7 linked regions of the Oryzias latipes genome follow. The protein of the gene in region 1 purifies or fractionates together with the protein of each later gene. This does not show direct contact. Links are inferred from orthologs where the notes say so. Each region holds a gene or a part of one and is shown in the gene's direction. Other genes may lie near its edges.

Region 1 (4,591 bases):
AATACGAACTGCTTCACCGTTTTACATGACATGGCTTGGACATGGCCTAAATACTGTGGCTTAGTTCATATTAACGGTTTTTAATATTTAGACTTTTTGTTAAAGTTAATTTGTTTCTGTTAATTAAACAGTTTCAAAACGGAGACCCTACACTAATTTAAAAAAATGATCCATGCTATGTTTTCTAGAGGATCAAATGTAATAGATCTATCTTTTGGCTTGGTCTTCTTAGACTTTTGCTTCTCTCTTTCTTATTCTTCCTATTCCAGCAGCTTTCTATTTTTATCTGTTTCAAACTGAAACAAATTACATTTTTGTATTTCAGTGGTTATATTTCAGATTTTTGCTTCAGATATTTTTTGATCAACTGGTGAAGGCCGAAAATAGAAATATGTGCGTGCGTAGCCAATTTGAACTCAAATTCAGCACACAGACATACATTTTGATTTCACTGAGGGGTCTGGGATCCATCATTTCTACAAAGTTTCATAAAAAGAATTTTAACTGCTAAATGTATGCATTTTTGCAAAAGGGAAAGTAACTACAAAATACATTCAGAATAATTAATTTATTTTCCATGGAGACTGCTCTTATTTGGAATAACAAATCTTTTTATATCTCAACCACAACCACACTTCTTAATTTAAACAATTTGAGTTTTAAAGTATCTATCTATCTATAGAGTGGCCTTTTCTTGTGGCCAGTCTAAGGCACACCTATGGCAGGCCATTTTAACATCAAAAGGCTAAGTTTGACTATCCGGAATGAACATTGTAGATATCAGCAACGTATTTCTGACTAGTCGTAATTACATTTTGGATAGTTGGAATTGTAATTCAAGATATCTGTAACGTAATTGTGATAGTCGAAACGACCGATAGAGATATGGCCTGCCATACACACCTGTGCAATAATCTTACTGTCTAATCAGCATCTTGATATGGCACACCTGTGAGGTGGGATGGATTGTCTTGGCAAAGGAGAAGTGCTCACTATCACAGATTTAGACAAATTTGTGAACAATATTTCAGAGAACTGGTTATTTTGTGTATGTGGAAAATGTTTCACGTCTTTGAGTTCATACCATAAAATATGGGAGCAATAACAAAAGTGTTGCGTTCATATTTTTGGTCTATCTATCTATCTATCTATCTATCTATCTATCTATCTATCTATCTATCTATCTATCTATCTATCTATCTATCTATCTATCTATCTATCTATCTATCTATCTATCTATCTATCTATCTATCTATCTATCTATCTATCTATCTATCTATCTATCTCAGATAAATGCATCGCGATCGCCACCCTGTGCCCAAAATGAAAAATAAACTGAATTTTATACAGGCATTTAGGTGGACATACATTAAACAATCTGGGTCCTCAGAAAGGTCACGAGATTGCTGGGTAGTGTAGTTGATATTTGCTTTTCATGCACGGATCACCAAAGCACGAAACTTCAACTCCCACGTACCCTTGCGAGGAAAGCTTATTTCGAGCGTTATGGAGTCTTCTTGAATCGTTTCTCTATCGCAGTACGTTTGTTGACAAGTGAAAAGGGTAAGTTAACAATCTGCTAAATATAAAGCCTCTGAGCGGGTTAAACTTATGGTTATCATAATGTGTTTTATATGATGTCGGTGGTGCAGAATTGGAGAGTTAATGTAGAAAGAAGCGGCCTTTGTAGCTAAGTCGTTTGCTAGCTAGTGTGTTACTAGCGCTAACTCGCGCTGGATATGCATAGCAGCAACATTCATTTCCCAAAGATTGAGTAAATCACGTTTCCTTGTCTTTTTTTTTTTAAAATATACATTATTTTTTAAAGTTCCTTTTGCTTTTGTATCTATATATTTTACTCGAAAGTTCAAACTCTAAGCATGTTTTTTTTCTTTTATGATTTACAATTTACATAAGAAATTGTTCTTTTTGTGGGAAAAACAATTCATTTAACTGGAACTTCGTAAAGAAATTGTTGTGAAAAAGCGAAATGTCAAGTTGTGACGCTGATGTATAAAATTTTTTTTTGGTAATGTGAATTTTAATGCAAAATTAATGAGCATTATGTCTTGTTTTCCAGTTAGTGCTTCTATCCATATATGTGAATATAATAAAACAGCACTTTATTTTGATATGTTGCAAAAACAATAAAAAAAATACAGAAACTAACTTTTATGATGTATTTCCCAGGTGATGGTTTTAAAAAAAAGTTCTGCTTACATGTTATTGTGTTTGCAGATGGCAGCTGACTCCACAGATAAGAAAGATGCTGAATCCTCAGCGAGCAAGGACAGGGAGAGGAAACGCAGCCGCTCCCGGGACCGAGATCGCAAAGCGTCTCCACTGCGCAAACGTCATCGCTCTCGCGAACGGAACCGCTCCAAATCCGCAGAAAGGTTGCTACACACGCAGAACTGTGTCAGTGTATCATGGCTAATTGGGTTCACGTTCTAATGTTTTTTTTCTGATTTGTTTTATATTTACAGAGACCGACGCATGAAGGACAGAGACAAGGACCGCGACAGGGATAAAGACAGGGACAGGGGCCGCAAGGACAGAGAGAGGGACAGCCATCGCCGGGATCGCAATAAAAGGTCTAGATATCTCGCAGAGAACACATCATTATTAATATACTGTGAGAGGAAATGGGAAAGGAACTCCCTTTGGCATTCTTGGGTTTGTAGAGACTTACGATGACCCGGAAATGGCTCTAACGGCTTGAGGTTATTTTATTTTTTTATATGTTTTTATCTTTTATAGAAGTCCGTCTCCAAAGTCAAAGGATGGCAGGATGAAGAAGGAAAAAGAGATCAAAACAGAGGAGGAAGAAGAGGAAAATAAAAAGAAAGAAAAGGTTTGATTTTTCTATCTATAAAAAAAACTTGAATAATAATCATTTACTCCACAAACAAGGCAAAGAGGGGCAGACATGGTTGTTTTTTAAGCTTCATTTTTTTAAACATATTTTTTAACCAAGATTTAGGAGTTTGAACAAAGAAAGATCCAAAAGTTTAATTTTTGATTGGGATTTCTTCTTGTTTTTTTAAGTTTCAAAAGTTTTGTGCTGATTTAGAAACAATACTTGAAGTGATGCACTGAACCTGCATTGTGTTGTGGTTCAGGTCCAACCGCTTTCGTTGGAGGAGCTTTTGGCCAAGAAGAAGGCAGAAGAAGAAGCAGAATCCAAGGTTGGATTATTCCCGAGAGAAGTGTTTCTTCTTTCTCATTTTTCTATTGTAAATTTTATTTTTTTGTTTTGTTTTTCAGCCCAAGTTTCTGTCAAGAGCAGAGAGAGAAGCCGAGGCTATAAAGCGCAGGGAGCAGCAGGTGGAGGAGAAGAAGAAATTGATGGAAGACGAGAGGAAGAAGAGGAGGGTGTTTCAGGATATGGGTAGAAAAATGTTGGGTGAGTTTCTAACTTGTTCCTCGAAAACAACCCGGCATTTTACTTTGCTAAAGAGACGTGTTAAAAAAGATGTGGCTGTCTCTCCCAGAGGACCCACAGGAGCGGGAGAGACGTGAGAGGAGGGAACGAATGGACCGAGAGAATAATGGAAATGAAGAGGACGATGAGCGCCTAAAGATGCGGGAGGAGAAAGATAAAACTAAAGAACTCCATGCCATCAAGGTTGGTTGCAATCCCAGTTGCGTCAAATGCTTTGATAAAGACAGGAAGGAAGCAGCTTTTGGGTTGTTTCTCTTAAATATACCTTATCTAGAGGCTTCGGGGTACTTTTAAGAGCAGTTTCCTGGTCTCTGGATTGTTCCATGTACCATAATTTCAGGATTATAAATCGCTATTTTTGTCACACGCTTTCAACCCTGTGGCTTATTCAATGATGCAGCTAATTTATGCATTTTTAAATGCAATTTTTCGAGCAGAAAGGGAAAGCGTGAGGCAGGGGGAATACGGTATATGTGTCGAGGAAGACGCAAGTTTAATGTAAATTCCTGCTTTGTGAATGAATAGCACAAACAGACCCTCATCATGGAAAATGCAAGAAGAAATGCATATGATGCAGCTTTCAAGTTAAAAGCGATCATTAAAAGCAGTGTGAAAAAAATCCACCATCACCAACGGGTTTGGAAAAGGTGGTCTGCTGCATGATGGAGAGGACAGCGCAAGCTCAGGAGAGAATTTGCCTCAGGATGAGAGTGACACTGACAGTGACAACGAAGGAGAGATGGAGAGAGAGTGTGGCGAAGAATCTCTGACGCTATTCCAATCAACACTGAGGAGGAAGACTTCCATGGTTTCAGTGCACAAGTGGCCGCACTGACGGAGCGGACGCCTTCAAGTTACTGCTGCTCTCAGTGACTCTTTTTTTTTTCTCTCTGTGATTTTTACCGGTATGTTTTTTTTACCAGCCCTGTTAGTGCTGTTACTACCATATTGCTGCCGTGTTACTGCCGCGTCACAGGCACTGTTTGGAATAGAGCTGTGACGGTGTGGGATTTTTCATCACTGCGGTGATGAAGCAGCAGGAATTGAGGTGTTGCGGTTTGCCCCTCACACACACACACACACACACACACACACACACAAAATCCCCAGGTGTCGCAAATGAATACCGGTACATGTAATAATTAC
Region 2 (3,897 bases), on another chromosome or scaffold:
TTTTCTTTTAAATTGCTGACAAGATGAAAAACACATTCCGAAATATATATTTTTTCTAAATAAGAAAAAGTCCTCTTACAAAGGCGCTCTGGCATTGGTCTGCTTGTCTGTGCGTAAGAACAAGAGGAACATCAATGTGAACAGTTATTTTTATTGCTGGTTACAGATGCAGTTGGCCACTAACTGTTCAGACAATTTAATTCATCATTTGAAAAAGTACAATTAAAAGTGTTATAATTCTTAACCCATGAGTCTCAATCTAAAACATTTGACCTGCTTTAAACTTTTTTCCTAACTTTGTGTTCTGGTTGCAGGATGGCCCTTACATCACAGCAGAAGAAGCTGTTGCCATTTACACCACCACTGTGCACTGGCTGGAGAGCCGGCGATTCTCGCCCATTCCGTTTCCCCCACTGTCGTACAAACATGACACCAAGCTGTTGATCCTGGCTCTGGAAAGGCTCAAAGAGGCCTACAGGTACAAATGTTAGAACATAACGGACTCAATTTAACACGACTGCTCCTGTTCAAGATTGTGATTTTTATCTTCCTTCCTCATAGTGTGAAATCTCGTCTGAATCAGAGTCAGAGGGAGGAACTCGGCCTGATCGAACAAGCCTATGACAACCCTCATGAAGCTCTGTCCAGGATCAAACGTCACCTGCTCACCCAGAGAGCGTTCAAAGAGGTCAGCACGACTGACTGACTCTATATTGGCTGCAACATTTAAAAGCTTCAAGGGAAAAAGTTGACCTTTGAAAAAACCGAGCATGTCTTTTTTTTCAACCAGTGTTCGGTTAAACCCTTTTTCCAAACCTGTTTATTGCATCACATTTGATGTTTTTCTTGTCGTTTCAGGTTGGCATTGAGTTCATGGATTTGTACAGCCACCTGGTGCCAGTGTATGATGTGGAACCCCTGGAGAAAATCACAGATGCATACCTGGATCAGTACCTATGGTACGAAGCAGACAAGAGACGGCTGTTCCCACCCTGGATCAAACCTGCTGATACTGAACCACCTCCACTTTTGGTTTACAAGTGGTGCCAAGGTGAGTCCCAGCCTATGTTGATTTCAAATAGATGTTTTACTGCCGTGTAATTTAAATGCTCTTAAAGAAAAATATTACAAAGGAGCTAATGTAGTTTATTTGGCTGCTCCTGTCAGGCATCAACAACTTGCAGGATGTGTGGGAGACTGCGGAGGGAGAGTGCAACGTGATGCTGGAGTCCCGCTACGAGAAGATGTACGAAAAAATCGATTTGACTTTGCTGAACAGGTTACTGCGCCTTATTGTTGACCACAACATCGCTGATTACATGACGGCCAAGAACAACGTTGTCATAAACTACAAAGTAAGCTCTCCTCTGTTTGGGAACATTGAGCTTGAGCGCATAATCATTGTCTTTAAACTGGTCCATGATGTCAATACATTCATTTCTTCTAGGACATGAACCACACCAACTCTTACGGCATCATCAGAGGCCTGCAGTTTGCTTCGTTCATTGTGCAGTACTACGGCCTGGTGATGGACCTGCTGGTCCTCGGCCTGCACCGTGCCAGTGAGATGGCGGGCTCCCCTCAGATGCCCAACGACTTCCTCAGTTTCCAAGACACCGCAACGGAGTCTGCTCACCCAATCCGACTGTACTGCCGTTACATCGACCGCATACACATCTTCTTCAGGTGAGACTAAAAACAAAATGCCTTTCCTAACTCATTGGCAGATTCTAAAACTCTGCTTTCTTTTTACGGCCTTCAGGTTCTCTGCTGATGAAGCCAGAGACCTGATTCAGCGATATCTGACGGAGCATCCGGACCCCAACAATGAAAACATAGTGGGGTACAACAACAAGAAGTGCTGGCCCCGTGACGCCCGCATGAGACTTATGAAGCACGATGTAAACCTGTAAGTTCATCTTCACAATATATAGTGAATAGATTCATCAGAATTTTAATTGAAAGCACAGTTATAAGCAGCTCTAACATTTCCTTGGAGCTCATAGTTGTTGGGAGAAGAACCCTTTCTGCACAGCACCTCTTCTAGTTTACTACTGTTCACATCATCATGCACTGATGGCGGAAAAACACTCTTCAGCATAACTTTAAACGTAACATTGGAGGAGACTGCGATGGCGTTTATCACAAATCTTATTTCCCTCCCCAGTGGACGTGCAGTGTTCTGGGACATCAAGAACCGCCTGCCCAGGTCTGTGACCACGGTGCAGTGGGAGAACAGCTTCGTGTCCGTTTACAGCAAAGACAACCCCAACCTGCTCTTCAACATGTGTGGGTTCGAGTGTCGCATTCTTCCCAAGTGTCGCACCAGCTATGAGGAATTCACTCACAAGGATGGCGTCTGGAACCTGCAGAATGAGGTGAGGAACAATAACGGTCAGCTGCTGGCTTTTGGAGACAGCTGCAGTCTCGTGTGTAAAGCAAACATTGTTCAGTTTATTTTGAAATGGAAAATGGTTGTTTTTCTTTGTGCCAGGTAACAAAAGAGAGGACTGCGCAGTGTTTCCTCCGAGTGGATGATGAGTCAATGCAGCGTTTCCACAACAGAGTGCGTCAGATCCTGATGGCTTCTGGCTCCACCACTTTCACCAAGGCTAGTAGAAATCCCTGTAAATCACTCTGGTGTCCTGGCCATTATCATAGACCATGATCAAATAAAAATCCATTGTCTTGTTTTTCCTCTTAGATTGTGAACAAGTGGAACACCGCTCTCATCGGCCTCATGACGTACTTCCGCGAGGCTGTGGTCAATACTCAGGAGCTGCTGGACCTGCTGGTGAAATGTGAGAACAAAATCCAGACACGTATCAAGATTGGCCTCAACTCCAAAATGCCGAGCCGCTTCCCTCCCGTGGTCTTTTACACCCCCAAAGAGTTGGGTGGGCTGGGCATGCTGTCCATGGGTCATGTCCTCATCCCACAGTCAGACCTGCGGTACGTTCTGCCACATTTCTGTCCCAACGTCTCTTCTTGAAGCTAAAAACACATGTGGTGTCTAAACAAACCAGTCATTCAGTTCTCTGTTGCTGCTACAGGTGGTCTAAGCAGACCGACGTGGGAATCACCCACTTCAGGTCTGGAATGAGCCACGAAGAAGACCAGCTCATTCCTAACTTGTATCGATACATCCAGCCGTGGGAGAGTGAGTTCATCGACTCTCAGAGAGTTTGGGCCGAGTACGCCCTCAAGAGACAGGAAGCCATTGGTCAGAACAGGTGCGGACAAAATGAGATCAGCGTTTAAGGGTTCACAACGTTCCTGTTCGCGGAACTGTTTTATGAAGGGGTTCAGTTGAATGCGAGTGTTAAACAAGTCGTGTAAAACGTGTTGTTTGTTGTTCTAGACGTCTGACTCTGGAGGATTTGGAGGACTCCTGGGACAGAGGAATTCCCCGCATCAACACACTTTTCCAGAAAGACAGACACACTCTGGCTTATGACAAAGGTTGGAGAGTCAGGACAGATTTCAAGCAGTATCAGGTATGACGGAGATGCTCCTTATGAGAATAAATTAATCTGGAAGTGAATATCTGCTTCTTTGAAAGAATGGATAGAAAGTCAATAGTTTGTCAATGCTACTGAGAGTCACAAACAAGTTAACCTTATTTAATTTCAAGCATGAAATTATAGAACTATTAAAATTACATTCATATAGATGTTTTTGACTTGCAGATTAGTTTCTTTGATGCTGTATTTGACCATTTAAATTTACACAGGTGGTTGAAGATGATCTTTTTTGAATGCAGGTTCTGAAGCAGAATCCATTCTGGTGGACTCACCAGAGGCATGATGGTAAACTTTGGAACCTGAACAACTACCGCACAGACATGATCCAGGCTCTGGGTGGTGTGGAGGGCATTCTGGAGCACACACTCTTCAA
Region 3 (3,897 bases), about 3.6 Mb from region 1:
TCGACCCTTTGCAAGGAGTCAGTAAATACGCGCACACGCACAAGATCCAACTAGAAGCACTGAAAACCATGCATCATGCTGCAGTCCCAGTTTAGTCCAGCAGGGGTCAGGAAACTTCACCTAAAACAGTCTTAGCAACTGCCAAATGTTTATGATACTGCTACTTTGTAGCTTCTGTACAGCAGCCGTGAGCTGATGGGTATTTGGACAGTAACAAGATGGAATTAGTTTATTGGTTTTAGTGCTTTATAACTGCAGTCCTGAATTCAGGCTGTGGAACTGTGGCCCTCCTTTGGCTTGTTCTTCTCTTATTATTCATTCTTATTCTTTCGTGCGTTTTTTTGTCCGTTCATATCTTCTGCATATTTTATCTGATTTCTGCCATTCAAGTATCAAAATGTCCTGCAAATTGAGGACATTATTGCTATCTTCTGCGATTTCTGCTACAACTTATGGTTTTTCTGCAATTCAACAAAATTGCTGCAAAATGTTGCCATAGAAGTACATAGGGGAAGGCTCTTCAGCAACTTCAAACTTACTGCAAAGCTAACTTCTGCATACTTTATGCCGTTCAAAAAATTCAAACATGCATTTGTTCTGCTCTTTTGTAGACTTTTCTGCTGTCTTTAAACCATTTTGGTAACATTTAAAGTTTTTCAAAATTTTAAGTTGTTTGAATTTCAAATATAATGGAAGTCAATGGAGACAGTGCTTCAACTTCTCTGTTTTTGAAATGCATCTCCTCCTATAATTTCTCAACAATTATTTTAATCTGACGTATAGTTGAGACACAGCATCATTTTGTTTGGGACATCTGTCCATCTCAGACTCTGTAGCGTTTGTGCCTACGTAGATGACATATACAGCTGCGAGCAGTCCTGGAATTTGAACCCGTTGCCATGGAGACAGCACTCTCTTTCAGACACGCACAGACACACTGAGACGGGCTTTGCAAAAGTTCAGGGGACCTTTGACACTTTCAATGACACATAGATGTTTTTTTATTCAAAGTTTCAAACACAAATCCCCGTGTTTGGAATAAATTCTGTTTGTATGAACAGCTTTAACTAGCATAGCATTAAACCTTTATATTAACATCATGCTAGCTGTAGGTGCAAATGTAGACATTCCTTTACATTTTTGTTATGTAACCATTACATCTACATTGTGCTGGCTCACTTATGTTAGATCATTTAATTTGACATCTATCAAGGGTTTTCAAGCTAATTTGGCATTTAGCTAAAAATTTTACAGGTTTTTTTGCAATGTGAATTAATTGCAGCATTATAATGGTGATGTCTTCTGCAGCTTGGCAATCCGAAAACCTCTGCAGATTTTACGCAAACAGCTTCAGCAATTTATCCAGCCTTTTTCTTTTCAATACATTTCAGCTTCCTCTGCTAAAAGTTATGCGATTAAGCCAATAAAAGCAACCACCTTTTGCAATTAGTCAGTTAATCGTATATACCCAGGAAATGCAACTTTTCTAGTTATTCTTGGCACATTTTTTGTCATTTTCAGTTCACAGCATAGAAAAGCAGTTTCACACATTTACAGTTTGTTCACATTATATATTCTATCTTGTTACACTTGTGAGGGAACTGTAATTGGAAACCGAATTCCCTGGAACAATAATGCTCCTTCTCTTCTAACATTATTTCCTGTCTGCACTAGCTGGGGGGCCTGAACACACCTTACCCTGGGAGCATGACCCCTGGTCTGATGACACCTGGAACAGGAGAACTGGATATGAGGAAAATTGGTCAGGCCAGGAACACTCTCATGGATATGAGGCTCAGTCAGGTATGCTTTTTGTGTAATTCAGTATGACTTCCTCTTTAATCTGCTTGTGTTCTGCAGTGATATGGATAATTGTTCTGTTGCGTTTGACTTTTGCTGTGCAGGTGTCAGATTCTGTGAGCGGGCAGACAGTCGTGGACCCTAAAGGATACCTCACAGATCTGAACTCCATGATCCCAACTTATGGAGGAGACATCAGGTAACGACAGCGCGGCCGTAACTTCTTTTCTTTTATACGCGTTTGTGATCCCACCATCAGATGTTTCCACTTCCTTGCATAACAGATAAGATTTTCTATGCATTAACCAAAAAAAGCATCGGATAAACCTTTTGTGTGAAAGAAAGTGGGAAAGATTAAATCAAAGCGCTATCTAAAGCTGTGCATTTTTCTAATTTTTATTTTTATTTTATTTGGTAAGTGCGAACTGTAAAGTTGGGGAGATAGCTTCTAAATTTGCATCTCAATGAGTAAGAGGTTCCCGGGAATGTGGGAAGTTGTTGAGATTGTCTGTTTTTGATCATTTGTATCTAACTCTTTGGGTGCAGTGACATCAAGAAGGCTCGCTTGCTGCTGAAATCAGTGAGGGAGACCAACCCCCATCATCCACCTGCTTGGATTGCTTCGGCCAGGCTGGAAGAGGTCACTGGTAAACTTCAGGTGGCGAGGAACCTGATAATGAAAGGCACAGAAATGTGCCCAAAGGTAAATTTGAGGTTATTGCAGGCTTGATCGAAGGGGTGTGACAATCACAGCATCACCGCATCGGTGATGACCGCATCACAGCACGTTTTTTTCTTCTGCATATGGTGTGTGATTGGAACTAATAAACACATTAAACACATTCATCTTTGCTGATAATTTACTTTTTCTGCTAGTCCCGTGTTCAGACTTCAGGGGCTTCTGGGGGAAACCTTTTATTACTGTTCTCCTTCACTCCCTGCGCGGCTCTCACTCCCTCTTGCGCCCCACACGCTCCCTCTCCTTACACACACGTGCGCGGTTTCAGCAGCACATACAAATCCTCATTGTACAACAGAAATTCCGTCTCGCGAGGAAATGCGACAAATTTACTGCGTTCTAATTATTCATTTCCATTACAAGTTGCGTGGGTGGTGGTGTTTATTACTGTTCTCCTTCACTCCGTAACACCAAACACGAACGGGCTCTGTTAGATTTCGATGAATATCACTACATGTTTTGTTTGGGAATTATTTCGTGCAGCGCAAAGTTACGTGTCTGTATAAACAAAGGCGGAGCCTCCCGCCACGTGTTCTTCATGGGTGTCAGGCTTCATGGCTACCGGAAAGGTGACAAAGTGTCTGCAGTCTGTTTATTACTGGGCAATATATAATATTCTGAGAAGATGTCTGTACCAGAGAGCACAGGTGAAGCCTTGCTTGCAGCTCCAGAGCGGTCCGCTGCAGAAGAATTAACACACTTGTGTGCTCCTTCCTCCTACATACGCAGCGTGCTGACACACATACACATAGTCATTCTACAACACCTATATAGTTAGTTCATTAGGTGGATAGGTAGTAGTTAGTGGTTACTGTTATTTGTTAATAAAGAATACTGCGTTGTAATTGTATTCATTTGCAACGCAGCCGCGGGGGTATTTTGTGTTTGGCCGGGGGGGGGTTAACCGCCACACCGCCCCCGCTGCTGGTTCATCACCGCGGTGATCAAAAATCCCACACCGTCACAGCTCTACTTGATCGTCTGTAAAATGTTTTATTTTTGAATGAAAATATTTCACTTTATTGTGGTATCTATAAATGCAAACCGAACTTTCTAGCATTTCAGTTTTCCTGTTCATTTATGAAAGAATCTTTCATGAGGATTTGTGCCTCTCAACCAGAGTGAAGATGTGTGGCTGGAGGCCGCTCGGCTCCAGCCCGGAGACACGGCTAAAGCTGTTGTGGCGCAGGCTGTCCGTCACATGCCGCAGTCCGTCCGCGTCTACATCCGAGCTGCTGAGCTGGAGACGGACATCCGGGCCAAGAAACGGGTCCTCAGGAAAGGTACACTTCTCAAATATTGATTCTAATAAAGCCAAATTACAGTTACTCGAGTAGTGGGTCTGCATTACTTTTTAT
Region 4 (4,594 bases), on another chromosome or scaffold:
CAGGCTGCCGGTCTGGAAGGTGTCCGGCAGAGTCGCTCCTGACCGCCGCTCCGACCTCTGCAGCTGCGTCCCCGACCTCTCAGAGTTCTGGTGGTCTGTCCCGCTGTCGTCGTCGTCATCCTCGTCTTCGTCACTGACGTCTCCAGCATCATCGTTCTGGAACAGAGCTGCAGAACCCAGCGGAGGTCATGAATGATGGCTGTGAAAGTTTGTCCAGCGCCACTTTTCAAAATAAAAGACTGTTAATGCTTTTTTAAACTTTGAAGGACTTTAAAAAAAATGTTTGCATTGATTTAACTCATTTATAAAGTTATTTTGCTATTTTAAAAAATATGCTTTCAACTCTAATTTTAATAATAATTTCATAGGCATTTTAAATGTTATTTTTGTCCTTAATTGCTGTATTTTTAGTAAGTTAACAGGTTTTAAGGCTTTTTCCGGTCCTCCTGTGTCAAAATCCTCATGAAAGCAGATATTTTCTCTTCTCTTTTATTTAACAATCTGTTAAACAACTTCATAGAATCAACAAAAGAGTCACAAATACTGTGTCTACATACACAAATAAATGAATTTATTTACACCCCCGTTTTCCAGGTGTCAAACTCCAGGCCTCGAGGGCCGGTGTCCTACATGTTGTCCAACCAACCTGCCATGAAGCACACCTGATCCAGGTAATCAGTAGCAGATAAGGCAGGATATCTTAAAAAAAAAAAAAGAAACAGTCTGACACCCCTTTTGCGGTCTTCTATAGGTATATTTTGTTTTTGTAATAACATAATTGTGTTATTTGTTTATTTCAACATCCGTTAATGTCTACTCAGATGAGAGTGAAATATAATTATTTGTCGTATTTGGGTTAAGTTTGGAAAATCCTGCAAGATTGACAGTTCCGAGAATGCAGCTCAGGCTGACGACATATGAAGACGCTGCGTTCACAGACCGCCGGAAACTCGGATAAAAAGTCTGCTAAATCTCCAAGCTAGCAAACCTCGACGGCAGCGGTTAGCTTGTCTCATACACCGACTCGGAGGAAAGAAAACTCAAACCAAAAACGGTAACGTAACAAACCTTGCGCTACATCCAATAAACCGGGTCCCGCGGAGCAAACGCTGTCCGTCTCGACCTGAGGATCCAGATCGACCACCACCAAGTCCGACACGTCGCTGACGGTACACCCGGTTTCCAGGGCTTCGAACTCCATTGAAACGCTCGCCAGAGTCTCGGTTTAACGGGATTAAATGAGGATCACGCGGCACTTGGAGCTTTGAAACAACAAGCGGAGTTCTGAGCCCACGCCCTGACACTTTCAAAAGATCCCGGTCTGCTGCAGCTCAGCCAATCACAGCAGGGAGCTATATAAAGACCCGCCCTTGTTTTTTTACATGCGCGGATCGGCTCGGTCTGCAGTACCACAGGACAATCGTTAGGGGGCAGTAATGACGTAAACATTACACGATCTACCGTAGAAGAAGAGGGTTTCGGCCGGCGGTCTGCGCTATTTCAAAGGTACAAACGGGATTTAAGTCAAAACTACGCGTATTATATAAATATTTGTCATGTAAACAACAGCGCATTTCGCAGCTCTTTTCGGCTAGACAGCATTTTTGTTTTGTTTATAAGCATTTGTAACGTTGTTAGCATGTCGCGCTACTACTAGCATCGTGCTACTTAGCATGCTAACTAACTTCAGTCTGAATCTTGTTTTTACGAAGTCAATATTCCGAGTTATTTTTATTTTTATTGCCAATCTTTTTAAATAAAATCAAAACAAAAGCTTTAGTTTTTTAGGCACAAAAAAAATTCATATATGAGATGAAACAGATGTTTTAATTCATGCGCTGTTAAGGCTGATGATCATGATGATGTTATTATTGTTGTTCGCACGTATTTTTACTAGAAAACAAAGTTATGGAAAACATATTTAAAGTTAAAATCCCATTAACTGTGAGAAAATTGTACTTTGATCCTGGAGGAGCGGAGAGCTGCAGAAACAGCCGCTCAGGAACCAGGGGGGTATTTTCTTTATTTTTAGCTTTTTTTTTAATTGAAAAAACACTTGAGGTTTACAATTTGTAACAATTGTATACAATTATGACAAGTATAGAAAAGTAGAAAAAGTACAGGACATGAACAAACAACATAGGCAGGATAAAATAAAAATATAACAATAATACCGAAAAAAAATTAAATAAAAGAAATTAAAATAAAAAGGGGGTCACATAGACATTTTAATGATTCTTGACTTGGGGGGTTCTCAAAAAGCTGCAAGTTACATATAATACTTTGAAGTTCCATAGCAAGTTTGATTTCCATGAAGTTTGCAGATGAAAAAAAGAGCAGAGTTCTTTATGAAATGTAAAAGAATATGGTTGGATTTCAAGGAATTGACATTTATGTATATAGAATTTACCCAAAATAATTACAACATTTAAAATAAGTTCTGTGTTTTTTTGTTTTTTAAATTAAACCCAAAAATGATGTCCTTAATAGAAAAGTCTGCTAAATGTGGGATTTGGGGGAAAAGCCAATAATTCCAAAAGACATTAGAGTCAAAACATTCAAAGAAAAGATGCTCAGTTGTTTCAATGTCATCATGACAAAAAGAACAGCAGTTTTCAGGAATTCCAAACCGTTTTCTTAGTAATTCCTTGGAAGGGTAAAATACCTGAAAAGGTTTTAAAATTGACTTCCTTGGCTTTAGGAGGGATGGGGAGTTTGAAATATTTGGTTCGTATTTGTTTCTTTTCTGAATTATTGAAATATTGGGTTATATAATTTGAATTTGAGATGTAGGGAAAGGACGTTTCATTCAAATATTCTCTGATTTGATGGTTGGGGAGTTTGAGTTAGGGTTACCAAGTCCAGCGTAATTACACTAACTCAAATCTGGTCATACCGACATACCCAGAGTAAGCAAGTTCAGGCGGATTTCAGCCAGAGTTCAGGCTTAAAGTCAGGCTAGTTTAAACGTGCTTCCTGGATACCTGCCTGAACTTACCGAAATCCTAACCTTGACCCTTCCTGTGGGTCCGTGCAGCCAATGACAACGTTCAGCACTGGCTGCACGTGCGCATTCTTGTAATTATTGACCTTTTATTGGGTCATTATTTCAAAACATTTATTTCAAGTTTGTTTTGAATTGAACAGAATTAGGACTTAAATAATTATGCTTGCTTTTAAAATGGATGTAAACATAGAGGATCATTATTATTTTACAGGTTATTTCCAAAACCCTCATATTTACTGTTGGATGCTCGGTGGTCCGTCCTCACAGGTCCTAGCAGCTTGTTGTTGTTTTGGTAGATGTTAAAACCAGTCCATGCAGGTTTGATGGGGTGGCCTGACCTTTGGTGTCTTCCTCTACAGTTTTGGGGTTCCCACCTGACCGGGTTTGTCTTCCTCGCGGCTCGGGGTTCGGCTGCAGCCGCGGCTGAAGATGTCGCAGCAGAAATGCGTCCAGAGCTGCGGCGACGACCAAGAAGGCTTTGAGCTGTCGGCCAGTGACGAGTCGGAGCCCGAGGAAGAGCTGAGCCGGGCGCCCTTTGACCCGGAGCTGGATGACAGCGACGACGGGGGCGAGGAGGCGTGCGCTCTCGGCGCCACCCGCTCAACTGCGAGCACGTTCGTCTTGAGCGGAGGGAACTCTGCGTTCTCCGACCGCAGCCGCAGCGTCTTCGACTGCCTGGATGGCGTCGAGAGGCAGACGGCACCTCTGCTCCCCGAGGAGAGCATGCCCCCTCCCAAATGTCCCCCTCCTGCAAAGAAGAGGGGGGTCCCGGACTACCTGCTGCACCCTGATCGCTGGACGCGCTACAGCCTGGAGGACGTGAAGGAGACCACTGATCAGGAGAACCGCAGGGCGGCGCACAACTTCCTGTCCAGTCTGCGGCCTGAAGAGGGCAACCGCCCCCCCGGTGAACCCCCCCACGACCAGCAGCAAAAGGTGGTCTTCTCTAAACCCAAACGAGCGTTCAAGGAAGAAATCTCTGAGTCAGACCAGCAAGGAAAGGAGAAGAGACTGCACCTCAGTCACCTGGCTGAGGAAGAGGAGGAGGACAACAAGGCTGCTGGAAAGACCCAGCAGGATGCAGAGGAGGTCAGAGACCAGCAGGAGTCCCTCCCCAGCTTCACCCCCTTCAAGAAAATGAAGAGGAAGAGCTACAGAAGGAGCTCGGATCACAAGGATGAGTGCTAAAATGCTCGATTTGATGCTGACTTTGTGCTAAAGCTGGAACATTTGATGTTTTATTCAAAGAAAGTTTGACATATGAACAAACTATCAATACAAACCAGGCTGAAAAAAGCATGAGAGTTTGGTTTAGTGACGTTTCATGAATTCTTTCTTCATAAAACTAACGACCAACAATGCTGCAGTTATCTTAGCAGAGCAGGAAATACAATAAAAGAATCCAAAAAAGGCCTGAAATTCCTCCTAGAATTCTTCATTCTGGTTCAAATAAATCATAAATTGGCTAAAGAAAGTTTCATGCATGAGATTCTTTGTCCTGCTGAATGCTGCTCACATTATCAGAGGGAATGGATTCTAAAGTTTGTCTTTTCCTAAAACAGAGTTTCTCATCCTCAGACAGTCGCG
Region 5 (4,339 bases), about 3.7 Mb from region 1:
AATAATGTATTTTTTTTTCTCTTTTCTACGCCGCACCCGGTATAATCCCACTCCCCAAAAATAAACACAAATTGTTTCATTTGTCTCTCTTTAGTTCTAATTTTGACCTGAATGCTCCTATATTTCTTATTAGCATGAAGCCATGAAGGTTCAAAGAGCTTAGAAGTATCTTTGAACTTATGGATCACCAAGGATTAAGTAAATAAACAGAAATATGAATTCATTTTTTAGACTTTGTTTCTGTTATAATCAGTGAGACCAACTTTTTCCTCTGACAATGACACCCCTTTGTATTGTTCAGGGAGTCTAGATAGAGTTAGCTCAGACCTTCTTTTTTGTTGAGGTTCATGTCTGTTCTTAAAGTTTCTGGCCAGAAATTAGCGCATGCATTCCCGTCCCCCTGTGCAAAAGACCCAATCCTGCTTTGCCCTGCAATTTGAAAGAAATCTGTAAAACTTTACGCAATAGAGTGTGCAAAATGACAATGTAAAAACTCCATGTTTGGTTTGTTCAACTTTTAATTTTTGTGTCTTTACTCCCAAACAAACAATGCAGACCTTCTGAAGTGAATGTTTGGTTGAGGGGAATTCTGACTCCAAACTCAGTGAGACAGACGATGATCTGCAAATGATGTTTTCAAAGTAAGGCTAAACATAGCAGCTACAATATTCAAGAGAAGTCTCTTCATGCATCTAGAAAAAGTTTTTTTTAAACTTTTGAGTCTCAATTCAGCAGTAATTATCTGGTGAGATCTTAAATTACACTAATATCTCATTTAGATTTCATGAATAAAATTTGCATTTGTTCCACAGGATTAGACAGTTCTCAAAGTTTCTGTCATTAAATGACAAAAAAATATTTCTCAAACTGAATTAAATGCTGATTCTTGTATTTTTACATCAATGCAGCTGAAATATAACTTTCTTTCTATAAAAGTGTTTTTCAGATGTCAGAATAAAATGTGAGAATATGGGAGAACAAAAACTTTCATTGTAGGAAATGTTCTGCTGGACCAGTTCAGTTACCCCCACCACCCCCACCCCCGCAGTCGGTTCCCATAGTTGTTTATTGTTATAAAATGTGGTTTCTCATTTTTTTTGTCTAAATCACAAATAAAGGGTTTCTTTATTTTATCATTCAACCATAAACTAGACCTCTAAACTTTTATTCATTAATACCATTATTATTAGAAAGTAACGCTAGTTGATGAGAAGAAAAGCTTCTCTTTTAGTGTCCTATCTTCCAAACGAAACCGAAAGCACAAAGGCAGATGATTGATTGCAGGAGTTTCCTCGACCTGAACCGACTGGAATTTGATGAAATCCTAAACCCAGCGTCAGTAGTCCATGACGGGGAGGAAATTGAGCAGCAGCAGCAGCAGCCTGGGTGATGCTGGAAAGACGCAGCGCTGCGTCGGCTGTGACTGACCCCGCTGCAGCTCTGACCTCTGCACCTGAGAAAGTGTGCAGTGCAGACAGTACCGAGAGGAAGCAGAAGGATAATGAGAGCAGCTGGAGCGTTAATTCCACGAACCTGCAAGTCACTGTCAGACATAGGTTTGCTCGTCTGAGGATCCTGCTGAAGAGCATAATAAATGGTAAGCGCACTGGTGCGTAATTACGCACGCACAGTGACAAAGTGAGTTGTTTTAGTGCTTTGATGCCAAAGCAGAGATTGAGAATTAAACCTGAGACTCGGACTTGAGTCTCACTTCAGTTTCAAAGGCAGGGATTTAAGACTTGAAAGCCTATTTAAGACTGAAACCTTAACTTCAAGAGCATCAGACTAGACTTTGAGGACTTGAGAACATTCTTAGTTTATTTTTAGTTTTACCTTAAAAAAAAAAAACAGATTGAGGTCTAATATTTTTGTGCTGTATGTGTCACTATTAGGTGGTTTAAAATACTGTAATGACATTAGTGAGAATCACACATTTTTAAAAATAATTTCCAACATTTTGGATTTGACTTGTAACCAAAGACTTAAAACCAGACTATGACTTGGGAAAAGTGGATTTCAGAGCATTTTAATGCCAAAGTCTGTGCACTTTGTCTTTCTGTCATGTGATACAAAGATGCCCAGGAGCCGAGTGATTTTATTCAGTCTTCACTGGGCTGCATTTAAGGTACTTCCACACCTCTTTCTTTTATGCAGTGTCTGACCGGAACTCTACTCCACAGTGTCCTGGTGGTTCTCTTGTTGGCCAACTCATCTGGTAAAAGTAAATGTAACTACAAAGACATACTGGGCTTCTACAGAGAAGTCATCTTCGTTGAGCTGCAGAATCTGGTATGACGACCAAACTGACCGCAAAATAAGAATTTCAATGTTTGTTTATATTCAACAGCCTTTTACCTACAGCTGACACTAAGAAAAGTGTTGGAATATATGGTTAGAGACTGCCCTCCAGTGTTTGTTTTGCAACACACACACAAAGAAAAGCCTCAAAACGAATTTTCCCACACTTTGAATGAGATGAAACTGGATTTCTAAAATAATATTTTTGATGACTAATGTTTTTCAGAATTTGACTGTTTCTCACAACTCATCCAAAGGGAGAGATCCCTGCCCCTCTGCAAAGGTGAGCATCAATGCTATAGGTACATTAGATGTAGTTTGGTGGCTGTAAAACGGAAATCACACACACAACAAATGCAGTAAACGTAGTAACAAAAATGGAAACAAATTACAGAAAACTGTTAAAATAGAACATTTAAAAATATTTTGCTTTAAAAAAAAAAAAACAATATTAAAAGTAAAAACAAAAAAACAAAAAAGGAGATTTCTTTAACCCTGATGTGACATATTTGTTTAGTTTGGCAAGTTTTGTCTACCCAAATACTTGCATTGTTTGTTATCAAGGTCTTTAAATGCTGTCTGTTTTCTCCTTTTTCCTGCCATCTCATGGCAGGCACATCGCATCCTTGTGTCCATATACATTAACACACAGCAGGTCCTCTGTTTGAAGAGCGGCAAGAAGCTGTCTGACCTGAAAAAGCCAATAGAAAACATGGAGCAGCTCATCGTTCAAAACTGCAGTCCTAATTATATGGTGAGAAAAAGTACCGATGCAGATCTTTGAAGTATGCAAAAAAACTTAAAAATCTGAACTAATTTATCTTTTTTTTCTTTTTTTCTTTTACTTCTAGGGAAAGAAAAACCCCTGTTCATCTGCCCAAAAAATACAAGGGAGAAAAGGCAAGAGATTTAGGGTGATCAAAACCATAAAGGCATTGATTAGATGTTGGGAAAAACTCAAAAGTGTCGTACCCTCTGATAAATAGTATGACTTTGGTCCCTAGGACCCGTGCTACTCTATGCACTCAAATTTCCAGATGGTTCTTCCAATCTGGTCAAGATAGACTTTGTAAAAAAAAAAACGGCTTCCTCTTTTATTGGAATGCTCAAGTTGTTTTATTCCTCCTTTTTTTAACAGTTGTCGAGATCTCCGAGTTTTGTGATTAAAAAAACGCCATCCACTGCATGTCAGCATTCCTCTTTGCAATATGAATTGTTTCCTAATAAGCCAAGATAAGCTAAAAAGTATTCACTCACCATTCAGATGTTCTCCAGTAAAATATGCACATTTTCATTCTTTGTAGCATGTTTTTTTTGAATGACATATTGACATTATACATATTTCCTGTCTTTTTTACTGTAATTTCATTTAATAAAATACTGAATATTTATTAATACTTTTATTAGAGAGGAAATTGTTGGTTTTGTTGTTTTTTATAAAAGGAAATCTTAAAGAGTGGAACTGTTCTTAAAAAGAATGTTTCCGACGGAACAAATAAGGTGTTACGCAGCGTCCGCCAGTGTTTACAGCCGAGAGTCCGCGAAGCGAATTCGCCACGAATCTGAACATTATCGTAAAGTAGCTTTTGTTCTTTGCATGTTAGTAAAAAAAAAAGTGCGAAGGGCAGTTCTTAGTCAGAATTATACTCTTTTCATTGTTTGTTTTCGTAACATTTACAGCGACGCAGAAATGCGTTTTTGTTCCTTAACAACACTCCCCTGAAGCAGCTTCTTCACTAGTCTGTGACTGTCTGTGGGACGTTCTGGGTAATCCTTTCCAATATTCAGGACACTTGTATTTTATTTTAGGAGGTTATTTGTGACACAAATTGAGTTGCGTCTGATTAAAAGCTAACATGGCTAGCAACTCTGTCGACATGGATCCTGATGTTGCTCGGAGGCTGTTTGAGGAAGGAGCCACGCTGGTGCTGCTCGGTGTTCCTCGTGGCACAGAGCTTGGGATAGATTGCAAAAGTTGGCAGGTTGGTCCTCGCTTCCGGGGAGTTAAGATGATCCCCCCAGGTCTTCATTTTCTCCATTA
Region 6 (4,440 bases), on another chromosome or scaffold:
AATGAGGGGAAAAGATAAGCAATAAATAGATTAATATGTTATCAGAATCCTTTAATCAACATTTTAGTTGTTAGAAAAAGTCTACTAAAAAACTTGAGTTGTGGTCCTACAACTATTTGTAGTTTTAACGGTTTACTCAACAAACTTGAAAAAAAGCCCAAAGGGATTGTTTGTGTTTGGAATTGGTTTCCTTATTTCATAAGTCACAAGATCTCCTTTGGATGTTGGCCAAAAAGGAATTGTGGATTTTACCATCTGAAAGAAGTGCTACAACATTTTTGTCAACGGCTCAGACTCTTTAAGACATCTCTTCAAAACAAAACTTATATTAGACTAACATTAGATAAATACACCTGCTGTAGATCTCATAGAACTCAGTTGTGAGAGTTTCTAAATGACACTATAATGCATCTTATAACTTTTTATAATTGTATTATAAATGGTAAATGGCGTATAATTGTACTGCGCTTTCTACCTTCCTTGAAGGCCAAAATCAGTCACCTATTCATACACAGATTCACATACTGGTTTCCTGGTTGCTGAACACTGGCACCAACCTTCCACCAGAAGCAAGGTGGTGTTCAGTTCAGCGTCTTTCCCAAGGACACTTCAACGGTAGGGCGGGTATCGAACCTGCAATCTAACGATCAGAGGGTGACCACCCTACCACGGCTGCCCATGTATGCAAGACATGACAGCAATAAACCTGGAGCCTAAAACTTTTACTATTAAAGTTTTTTTGTATTGTTTGATTTGCAAAATGCAGTTACAAAAGGCCATGTTTATAGTTTCTTGATATTGAATTATATTTTTCAAATAAATGAGTTTAAAAATACTGCTAAAAATACAAATGAACAATGCTGCATCATTTGTTTAGCACCTACAATAATAGATAAGGCAATCTGTGATTTGGAACGTGGCACATATGAAAAAAAGGAAAGGTTATTATTATTATTATTGTTTTTGTTGTTATTAATATTATTACTATTATTGTTGTTGTTGTTATTTCCAATATTTTAATTGTTGTTGTTGTTAATAATGTTGTTGTTGTTTACCAGGCAAAGGTCACAGACTAAGCAACGTCTCTTTTATTTTATATTATTTCTTGATACTGTCAACCTGGACTTTGATATCCTGCAAATGCAAAATAACTGGATAAAAGCAATGCTGAATTTAAATGTATCAAATTGTATTTAATTAATCTTTTTCGTGTATTTATTTAAACATGTTCTATAATGTCGTTTGTTAAATTGCTGCATGAATGCTGGGGCATTCATAACAGTTTTAACTTCGGCTTCAGTAACGAAATTACTAGAGATGGATGCAAGATTAGAATAGAATATTTTAGCTGATGACCGTTGTTTGATTTTTTTTCTATTGTTGCCAAAAAGAATAGAATATTTTTCGAATTTTTGGTTTGCGTCGTAACCCGGAAGTTATTCTATTTAAGCGCGTTAATATCACCGGAAGTGATTCTGTGCACGCGACTGTCGGCTAAAACGTTGTAGACACGACCGACGCACGAAAGAGGCTTTGGAACTTTACTAAACGGTTTTTATAAACCAGGAATCATGTTAGTATCTTCTATTGTGTCTCGATGTTGAGGGCAATGTTACTTTTTACGTTTAGCTGCTAATATGGAGATCGCACTATTAAGCTAGCAGCATTTTCCTTCGAGTTGGTGCTAGATCGCTTTGTGTGGCCTAGTGGGTGGTTTTTAGAAATGTGTTAAATTGGATTACATTGCAATTACTGCATTCTCAAATTAAATTGTTTAAAAAGTTACGTCCAAAGCTAAATTCTGTGATTGTACATCGCGCGAAAGCTTGATGGACGTACTAAGCCTCATTAGCTAATTGCTAATGAGACTGTTAGCTTGCTCTATCCATCATGAGTAAATGTCCTCGTTGTGCGATTGCAGCATTCATTCTTTAGAAAGTAGAAATGTTTAAGCTTCTGCAAGATGATATGATCAAAGTCGTCGGTTATAGACTCATTTTGTGTGAAAGCCAAAGTTTTGTTCTAAATATTTTGTGCGTAAAGAGCCTAAACTCTTTGCTGATCTCAAAGCACACACTGTTCAGAGATTGTTGAAAACTTCAAATGTATCTGGAAACAATAAATGTTCTGTGCTCATTTAAGGGTGGCGGGAGGCTTTAATGTTTTAAAACTTGATCCTTTTATAAAGTCTAGTATTTGTTGACCTTTATTTAGGTAAATTGTTTCTCTATCATCCAGAGCAGCCATTTTTTTTAAAGTAGGTTTTACTTCTGCCTATTTGTAGTGATCATTGTACAAATATAAAGAAATATCGAGACTAAAATGTACTGATTCAATTTATCAATGACCAAAGCATTTATTGTGTGTGTGAGATAATTCCTCAATAGTTTTGATTCCGTCTGATGTAATGTCTCCTGTACAATGGTTTTCTGGTTAATACTAGTTTTGCATGTTTAGTTTTATTTAGATATTTGGTTGTGGTCCATTTTCCTGCTTAAGCACCTTCTGCCTCTCAAATGTCTCTATTAACTGAGCACTTTCAGTCAACAGCTTCAGCTCTCATAAATGCTCTTTTGCAGGAACTGAGACTTTTTTTAGCTGGTTCCACTTTTCAGATGTCTTGCCTATATTGTACATTTTTGTGCTAACTTGACTTTATAAGAAAATGATCATTTTGTTGAGGCACACAGATGAAGCCAACTCTTGGATTCGCATTAACAGTAACTAATGCTTGTGTGTGCATTAAATACGAAAGTGTTGCGTTTGTGTCTTTATATTTATTTTTTAATTTAAAAGAATAATAATAAAAAGGCCCAAATCCAAATAATAGGCCGCCCAAGCAGTCGATGCTTAAACAGTACATCGTTGCTTATTTTGTTTGCTGTTATCACTAATTCAGAACTTGTTTAATCCACAGGAGTCTTCTAACGAAACCTAAGTCAGAGATGACGCCTGAAGAGCTCCAGAAAAGAGAAGAGGAGGAGTTCAACACTGGCCCTCTGTCGGTGCTCACCCAGTCAGTCAAGAACAACACCCAAGTCCTCATTAACTGTCGCAACAACAAGAAGCTGCTTGGAAGAGTCAAAGCATTCGACAGGTATTGGGGGGCTGCTGGTGTAGCGGAGAGAGGTTTAAGTGTGTATTTAGGACTTTTATATGAAGAGGAAACAAACACGAAGAGCTTGCATCTTGATTTAGAAAGTGTTGCTTCACTAAAGCATATTTTTGCAGTCTTTTTTTCTTCTTCTTTCCAGGATTTGAAATAACATGGCGCCTTACAGTGGTTTTATTCTAAAATGTTTCAATTATTCCCTCCTCTCTTTGACATATTCCTTTAATAGAATCAAGAATAAAATACATTCAGAAGAATTCAAATACAAGTAAAACACTAAATATAAGCTCACAAATGTAAGAGATTAAAAAGGCGTCCATAGCATCTCCTCCACATTGGGTACTGTGCCTGATGTGGGTGTGGGGTTTGAATGATTTCATTCTCTGAAGCATTGTTTTGTTTTTTTATCAAGTATGAGTTGAATAAAAAGCCACTTCTTAAATACTAAACCTGTTTTAAGGGTTAGATGTCAACAGCAAGATTTCTATATGTAGTCACTTGTGTAATAAAATCAAATTTTCTTACAAAGCTTAAGCAATGAAGAAGGGAGATTGCAAGATGTTTTATTTCAATAGTTCTTGCATTGTAATTTTCTGATCTTTTTGGTTTTTAAAAGAATAGATTACGTATGTGAGCAAATCCACCTGAGCACCCCAAGATTTCAAATGCCAGTGAGTTATTAGTATGAAGGTAAAAATGTGTCTAAATAGACGAGCTTGTAGATTTGGTGTGAGAACTTGTAATTTACAATGTGAGAACTTGCACACCAAAAATCTGCATCTGTGTGTAAAAATCTTCTGCTGTAAAGTCTGACAAACTAAATCAGAACTGACAAATTCCCATTTAGAGTTACAACCTCCAATCTGGGATTACAACTGCTCAAATGTGAATCTGCTGGCGCACATCACAAGTGCACAACAACTGCGCTCTGACTTCTGACACATTCCTTGTGAGAAACTTGTGTCAAAATTGATCTGTGTACGAAAACGGAACGGGGGGGACAATAGGGTCATGATTAGTCAGTACAGAAAGTTTGCTGACATTAGCTTTAGTATCTTTAGAACTATTGAGCACCTTTATTATGAATCATGTCTCTTAAAATGTGAAAAACTATATAAAATATATTAAACATGGAATTTCTCAGCAGGAAGTCCGAATCTGTGAAGATCTTTCTAACTTTACCAAGTCCTCTGAGTCCTGCACTCTGATTGGTTGACTCCCCCATCCTCTACACACACACACACACACACACACACACACAGAGTTCCAGTTTTCGGACACAGATCAGTTTTTTCCTTGTAGTTGGACCGAACCGTTTCGGTACGGCA
Region 7 (4,671 bases), on another chromosome or scaffold:
AGACATCTTCCCAGCTACTGTAGAAAGTACCGTTGATATTTGTATCTGTAAGGTAGATACAGTCCAATAGAAAAAGAAAGTTGAGAAAACAATAGCAAAGTCACTTTAGCTGATGAAGAAAAGTTTCTGAAAATATCATTCTTTCTGTCTTTTTCTTCCTTTTTGTGGAAAGATTATACCAGACACACTGAATTATGCTTTAGTGACAGTAATACAGTAAAATTACCCCACGAGCAATCTATTAAAGTTTGAAAGTGTGCATTACTGTGGCAGATTGTCAAGTGAATTTCTTTAAAAAAAAGTGTACACTCAAGTGGAGCAGAGAAAGTAAAAATTCTATTTTAGTGAGTTTTCTCCTATTCAAAATCTTACAGCCTGTTTATCACTCCCTTAATTTGAGCTGAGCTCGCCACACAAATGTCAAATCTCTTATGCTCATCCTAGATTTTTTTTGCTCAAACTACTCTAGTTTTGAGATTTTGGTACCCACAAGTGAGGAGGTGCTCTGCCACAGTCATAAGTACCTGTTTAGAATCGGTATGTGCCAACTTTATACCAGTACTGTTTCCCAAAACCAAGTAGTTGCATTGTCTGGTACAAGCTGAAGCTGGTATACAAACTGGAGACCAGGTTTTTTATGTAACTAGAGATGATAACAGTAAAGTGAGTTTTCAGAGAAAACCCCTGGATGTTTCCTCAATCAGTCAGCACTAAGGTGGCATACATTGCCTTGTACAGATCTGCGGTCAGGGCTGCACTGTGACAAAGTGGTTAGCGCTTTACTCTAAATCTGTGCATGCGTGGGTTTTCTCCAGGAGATCCGGCTTCCTCCCACCATCCAAAAACATGCGAGTGGCCGGGTAAGGCTCTGACAGCCCCATGACCCCGAAAGGGACAAAACGGGTTTACAAAATGGATAGATTTGCCATCAGTGTTTATGCCCAGACAATTCAGAGAGCAGAGACCTTGAGGTGAAAACTTGCAATCCCTTTATCTTCGTGGTTTCCGACCAAACTCTTCCCTTTAAGACAACTTACTGCCTCTCTTAGATTTCTACATAATTTGGGAGAGGAAATGAAACAGCAATCTTCTTTCATCCAATTCACCAAACGAAAGTCATAAAAGAAAATGAATTAATTTCAAAGGTAATGTGGTTGACAGAAAGAGTTCGGTAAATTTTTAACCTCTGCTGTGCTGTTCACTTCTTGCAAATAAAGAATGACCTTGTGCCTTTTGGGATATTTATTTGTACAAATATGTGGTTGAAAATGAAAATTGTCATTCGTGTCATTTTAAACTACGATGAAGCCAACCTGTCGCAATAAAGCATTAACTTCCCGGTACCAAAGAAATATAATTACTAATTTTATTTATGTAAAAATTAGCTCAAAGTTGTTGTTTTTTAATAATCGAGCGAACAAAAAATCTAAGTTGACAACAAGACAAGTCAGCAATGAATTTGGTTAGCTTATAATTTCGTCCTCTTACGGTTTGTACCGTCAGTTCAAAGACAAAAGCTCAGACATGAACAGTATAGGCGTTTGTCGTGGTAGAACGATAAGGAAAATCACGCAAAAAGTATCTTAAGTCTTGAAAAAAGGATGAAAATATTACCTTTCGTGTGGTTAGCTGAACTCAGATTGTTGTACTTCCGGTGCATTGTCGCTGACAACGTCTTCATCAGCCAATCACAGCAGGAGATGGATGTTTAAACCAATCACACAGCTCATACTCACCGGAAACACTTCATCCTGATTTCTTCGTTGGTGCTACGCTTTTCTCGTTTCCCATGAAGGCGCAAATAGTCATTCGGTAAACCGTAGTCACAAACAAACTTATTTTTGTCGATTATTTGCAATTATTTCGGGATGATTGAACCAAAGAAAAGAGCGGGAGACATGGCGGTAATTCCCACCGCTGTGAAGCGAGCCCGGAACGAGCTGGTGGCGGCGGCACAGTCCCAGCAACTCGTGGCTACGGTACGAAAAGAATCAACGTTCACACAAAAAAACTCAAATTAGAGAAAATATATACACACGGGTGTTGACCCGCATTTGTATTATGCATGCTTTAAATGATGTAATCTAAAATTTACTCAAACACGACATTTTTTGTGGTGCACCTATTATTTCTTGACGTAGAGAACACATGACAACGAATAACAACACGAGTTTTCGCTAGGATATTTAATTTTTGGATGTAATGTTGCTTCTTTAAAATACGTATTATATTCGAAATCCCGTTGTTATCAACAAACTGATGGTAAAGGAACCTTTCCCAGTTATGGGTGTTTCCGGGGTGAACCGTGAACAGGTTACAAATCCTAGGCTAATGTTATGATAGAAAATTAAAAAATGTTATTTTTTTTATTAAGCATGAGTTTTGTGTATTTAAACCTTTTCCAGTTTGTAGATGTTTTTCTGTAAGTAGATATTTTGATTATTGAGACAAAACTATAGGATATTTAACAGGATAGATACTAAATCTTTTTTTTCTATTGTAAAAAATAAATAGCTTTTAAACACTGGGGTTTCATTTTAGCAATCATCTTTTGATGTTGCAAAAATCTGCATGACATATCACCTGCAACAGTCACATTCACAGTCACCCATGCACACACACATTCACACACTGATGGCGGTTTCGCTCTCTTACTGGCGCCAAACTATAACCACCAGAAGCAATGTGGGGTTCAGTGTCCTGCCCAAGGACATTTCCACACATGGGTGGGCAAGGCGGGAACCTAACCTGCGATATTCATGATCAGGTGGACCGCTCTGCCTCTGCACCACAAGCCCCTGCATGGAAAGTGTGCCACCATAGGGTGCAGAGGCAGAGCGGTCCACCTGATCACAAATATCGCAGGTTAGGTTCCCGCCTTGCCCACCCATTTGTGGAACCTAACCTGCGATATTTGTGATCAGGTGGACCGCTCTGCCTCTGCACCACAAGCCCCTGCATGGAAAGTGTGCCACCATAGGGTGGCAAGATCCTTTGTGTCACATGATCAATTTGATCCTTTACAAATGATCCATTTCCTCACTGGTCTGCTGCAGATTTGCATTAAACTTTGTGGACTTTACTCTGAAGCGTTCTGTGGCACATTAAGCCCAAACGCACTTTTATTTATCTGTCTTTTATCACATGCCTGTTTTCTTTTTAGATTTCACTTGGACTAAATCTGGAAGAAAAAAACAGAAAGTAAATTAAACTGACCTTTCTCCTCCAGGGTCCTCCTCGGACCTCCAGCCTGCAAGCTCCCATCATGCTGATGTCGGGCCACGAGGGCGAGGTGTACTGCTGCAAATTTCATCCAAATGGAGCCACGCTGGCGTCTTCTGGCTTCGACCGACTCATATGTAAGCAAAAAGAGGCAAGCTGCCGTTCTCCCGGCCTTCTTCTGTTGCTTTGTTCCTCACTTACTTCCTTTACCTCAGTTCTGTGGAACGTTTTTGGGGAGTGTGAAAATTACGCCACCCTGAAGGGCCACAGTGGAGCTGTGATGGAGCTGCATTACAACACAGATGGCAGGTAGGAAGAAAGCTGTAGATTTTATCTTTAAACTTCACCTTTAAATTGACATTTTTCTTGTTTTAGGTTATGTTTACAGTGAAAGTAAAGCTCATATTCTCATTGTTTCTTAGTCTTAGTTTGATTTCAAAAACTAAGGAACTTTATGGAACAAAAAAAATGTTCATCTGTAAATTTTAGGACTTGGAACTATCTACATTTCTTAAATAACCTTTCCATAAAATTTGACTGGATCATTTTTGTGCCTCCAGCTTGTTATTTTCGGCAAGCACAGACAAGACCGTGGGCATTTGGGACAGTGAAACAGGGGAGAGGATTAAGCGCCTGAAAGGTCACACTTCCTTTGTTAACACCTGCTACCCAGCTCGCCGGGGGCCACAACTGGTCTGCACCGGCAGCGATGATGGGACGATAAAGGTGTGACATTTTTATTTTAGGTGCAGTTATTTATTCTGAATGCTTCAACTGTTGAGGTCCCATTCAAAGTTTTTAAATGTTGCTTTATTGTATTTTTGTTAATCGTCACTGCAGTTGTGGGACATCCGTAAAAAGGCGGCAATTCACACCTTCCAGAACACCTACCAAGTTTTGGCCGTGACGTTTAATGACACCAGCGACCAAATCCTGTCTGGAGGCATCGACAATGACATCAAGGTATTTGGATTGTTCTAAAAAAAACAACAACCAGCAGAGTGTCCTTGGTTTTGTTTTGTAAGATTAACAGGAAGTCTGAAATCTCAGCTGCTACGTGGCTCTACTGTAGATGGCAAGAAAAAAGTTTGACATTTTATAAAAACTCAGTGTTTAAGGTAAAAACTTTCTGACATTTTGAAAGAAAAAAGAAATCAGTGATTTAGTTGTTTTCAATCCGTTTTAAATAACACATTTTATTAGTCTGCCATAAAGCTTAAATCAACGTTTTATCATGTGTTTGCCTTCATTTAAATGCACCAAATAATCTGATTCTACTTAGATAAAGACTAACATGTGAAAAAAAAAATTTCGGTTTCATTTATTTATTTGTTATTTGTCAAATTCCTATTATTGTAGATAATAGCGAAATGGGTTAAAAAGATACAATTTAAAGTGAAATGGATTCTGTGAAATTTAAATATCGTTAGGCAGAATTGTTATTATTGT

Evidence for each region.
Region 2: the proteins of ddx23 (region 1) and prpf8 purify together in Homo sapiens (affinity purification with mass spectrometry; 5 studies listed by BioGRID and IntAct, counting the BioPlex papers as one, with this or other methods). This does not show direct contact. The link is inferred for Oryzias latipes from reciprocal best matches to the Homo sapiens genes DDX23 and PRPF8.
Region 3: the proteins of ddx23 (region 1) and prpf6 purify together in Homo sapiens (affinity purification with mass spectrometry; 3 studies listed by BioGRID and IntAct, counting the BioPlex papers as one, with this or other methods). This does not show direct contact. The link is inferred for Oryzias latipes from reciprocal best matches to the Homo sapiens genes DDX23 and PRPF6.
Region 4: the proteins of ddx23 (region 1) and tssc4 purify together in Homo sapiens (affinity purification with mass spectrometry; 3 studies listed by BioGRID and IntAct, with this or other methods). This does not show direct contact. The link is inferred for Oryzias latipes from reciprocal best matches to the Homo sapiens genes DDX23 and TSSC4.
Region 5: the proteins of ddx23 (region 1) and aar2 purify together in Homo sapiens (affinity purification with mass spectrometry; 3 studies listed by BioGRID and IntAct, counting the BioPlex papers as one, with this or other methods). This does not show direct contact. The link is inferred for Oryzias latipes from reciprocal best matches to the Homo sapiens genes DDX23 and AAR2.
Region 6: the proteins of ddx23 (region 1) and snrpd2 purify together in Homo sapiens (affinity purification with mass spectrometry; 3 studies listed by BioGRID and IntAct, counting the BioPlex papers as one, with this or other methods). This does not show direct contact. The link is inferred for Oryzias latipes from reciprocal best matches to the Homo sapiens genes DDX23 and SNRPD2.
Region 7: the proteins of ddx23 (region 1) and snrnp40 purify together in Homo sapiens (affinity purification with mass spectrometry; 3 studies listed by BioGRID and IntAct, counting the BioPlex papers as one, with this or other methods). This does not show direct contact. The link is inferred for Oryzias latipes from reciprocal best matches to the Homo sapiens genes DDX23 and SNRNP40.

What each region holds. Positions count from the first base shown.
Region 1 is NC_019865.2:19,105,707-19,110,297, forward strand, and holds the start of ddx23 (probable ATP-dependent RNA helicase DDX23), read left to right. Parts: upstream 1-1,432; 5' UTR 1,433-1,563; intron 1,564-2,238; coding exon 2,239-2,396; intron 2,397-2,486; coding exon 2,487-2,594; intron 2,595-2,760; coding exon 2,761-2,854; intron 2,855-3,122; coding exon 3,123-3,188; intron 3,189-3,267; coding exon 3,268-3,406; intron 3,407-3,494; coding exon 3,495-3,628; intron 3,629-4,591. UniProt on the Homo sapiens protein: Involved in pre-mRNA splicing and its phosphorylated form (by SRPK2) is required for spliceosomal B complex formation.
Region 2 is NC_019871.2:16,920,714-16,924,610, forward strand, and holds part of prpf8 (pre-mRNA-processing-splicing factor 8), read left to right. Parts: intron 1-314; coding exon 315-478; intron 479-561; coding exon 562-688; intron 689-858; coding exon 859-1,051; intron 1,052-1,167; coding exon 1,168-1,355; intron 1,356-1,447; coding exon 1,448-1,686; intron 1,687-1,762; coding exon 1,763-1,909; intron 1,910-2,167; coding exon 2,168-2,378; intron 2,379-2,494; coding exon 2,495-2,611; intron 2,612-2,704; coding exon 2,705-2,952; intron 2,953-3,053; coding exon 3,054-3,233; intron 3,234-3,361; coding exon 3,362-3,497; intron 3,498-3,763; coding exon 3,764-3,897. UniProt on the Homo sapiens protein: Plays a role in pre-mRNA splicing as core component of precatalytic, catalytic and postcatalytic spliceosomal complexes, both of the predominant U2-type spliceosome and the minor U12-type spliceosome.
Region 3 is NC_019865.2:15,463,669-15,467,565, reverse strand, and holds part of prpf6 (pre-mRNA-processing factor 6), read left to right. Parts: coding exon 1-17; intron 18-1,674; coding exon 1,675-1,803; intron 1,804-1,904; coding exon 1,905-1,999; intron 2,000-2,346; coding exon 2,347-2,503; intron 2,504-3,659; coding exon 3,660-3,822; intron 3,823-3,897. UniProt on the Homo sapiens protein: Involved in pre-mRNA splicing as component of the U4/U6-U5 tri-snRNP complex, one of the building blocks of the spliceosome.
Region 4 is NC_019861.2:37,263,910-37,268,503, reverse strand, and holds the start of tssc4 (protein TSSC4), read left to right. Parts: upstream 1-1,409; 5' UTR 1,410-1,506; intron 1,507-3,366; 5' UTR 3,367-3,436; coding exon 3,437-4,195; 3' UTR 4,196-4,594. Other genes in the region: shcbp1 (SHC SH2 domain-binding protein 1), read right to left, coding at 1-167, 1,069-1,201. UniProt on the Homo sapiens protein: Protein associated with the U5 snRNP, during its maturation and its post-splicing recycling and which is required for spliceosomal tri-snRNP complex assembly in the nucleus.
Region 5 is NC_019865.2:15,451,449-15,455,787, reverse strand, and holds the start of aar2 (protein AAR2 homolog), read left to right. Parts: upstream 1-1,327; 5' UTR 1,328-1,597; intron 1,598-2,154; 5' UTR 2,155-2,289; intron 2,290-2,524; 5' UTR 2,525-2,581; intron 2,582-2,911; 5' UTR 2,912-3,052; intron 3,053-3,149; 5' UTR 3,150-4,154; coding exon 4,155-4,339. UniProt on the Homo sapiens protein: Component of the U5 snRNP complex that is required for spliceosome assembly and for pre-mRNA splicing.
Region 6 is NC_019871.2:25,537,653-25,542,092, reverse strand, and holds the start of snrpd2 (small nuclear ribonucleoprotein Sm D2), read left to right. Parts: upstream 1-1,442; 5' UTR 1,443-1,571; coding exon 1,572-1,573; intron 1,574-2,917; coding exon 2,918-3,097; intron 3,098-4,440. UniProt on the Homo sapiens protein: Plays a role in pre-mRNA splicing as a core component of the spliceosomal U1, U2, U4 and U5 small nuclear ribonucleoproteins (snRNPs), the building blocks of the spliceosome.
Region 7 is NC_019869.2:21,982,792-21,987,462, reverse strand, and holds the start of snrnp40 (U5 small nuclear ribonucleoprotein 40 kDa protein), read left to right. Parts: upstream 1-1,742; 5' UTR 1,743-1,868; coding exon 1,869-1,979; intron 1,980-3,229; coding exon 3,230-3,359; intron 3,360-3,437; coding exon 3,438-3,531; intron 3,532-3,782; coding exon 3,783-3,948; intron 3,949-4,062; coding exon 4,063-4,185; intron 4,186-4,671. Other genes in the region: zcchc17 (nucleolar protein of 40 kDa), read right to left, coding at 1-6. UniProt on the Homo sapiens protein: Required for pre-mRNA splicing as component of the activated spliceosome. Component of the U5 small nuclear ribonucleoprotein (snRNP) complex and the U4/U6-U5 tri-snRNP complex, building blocks of the spliceosome.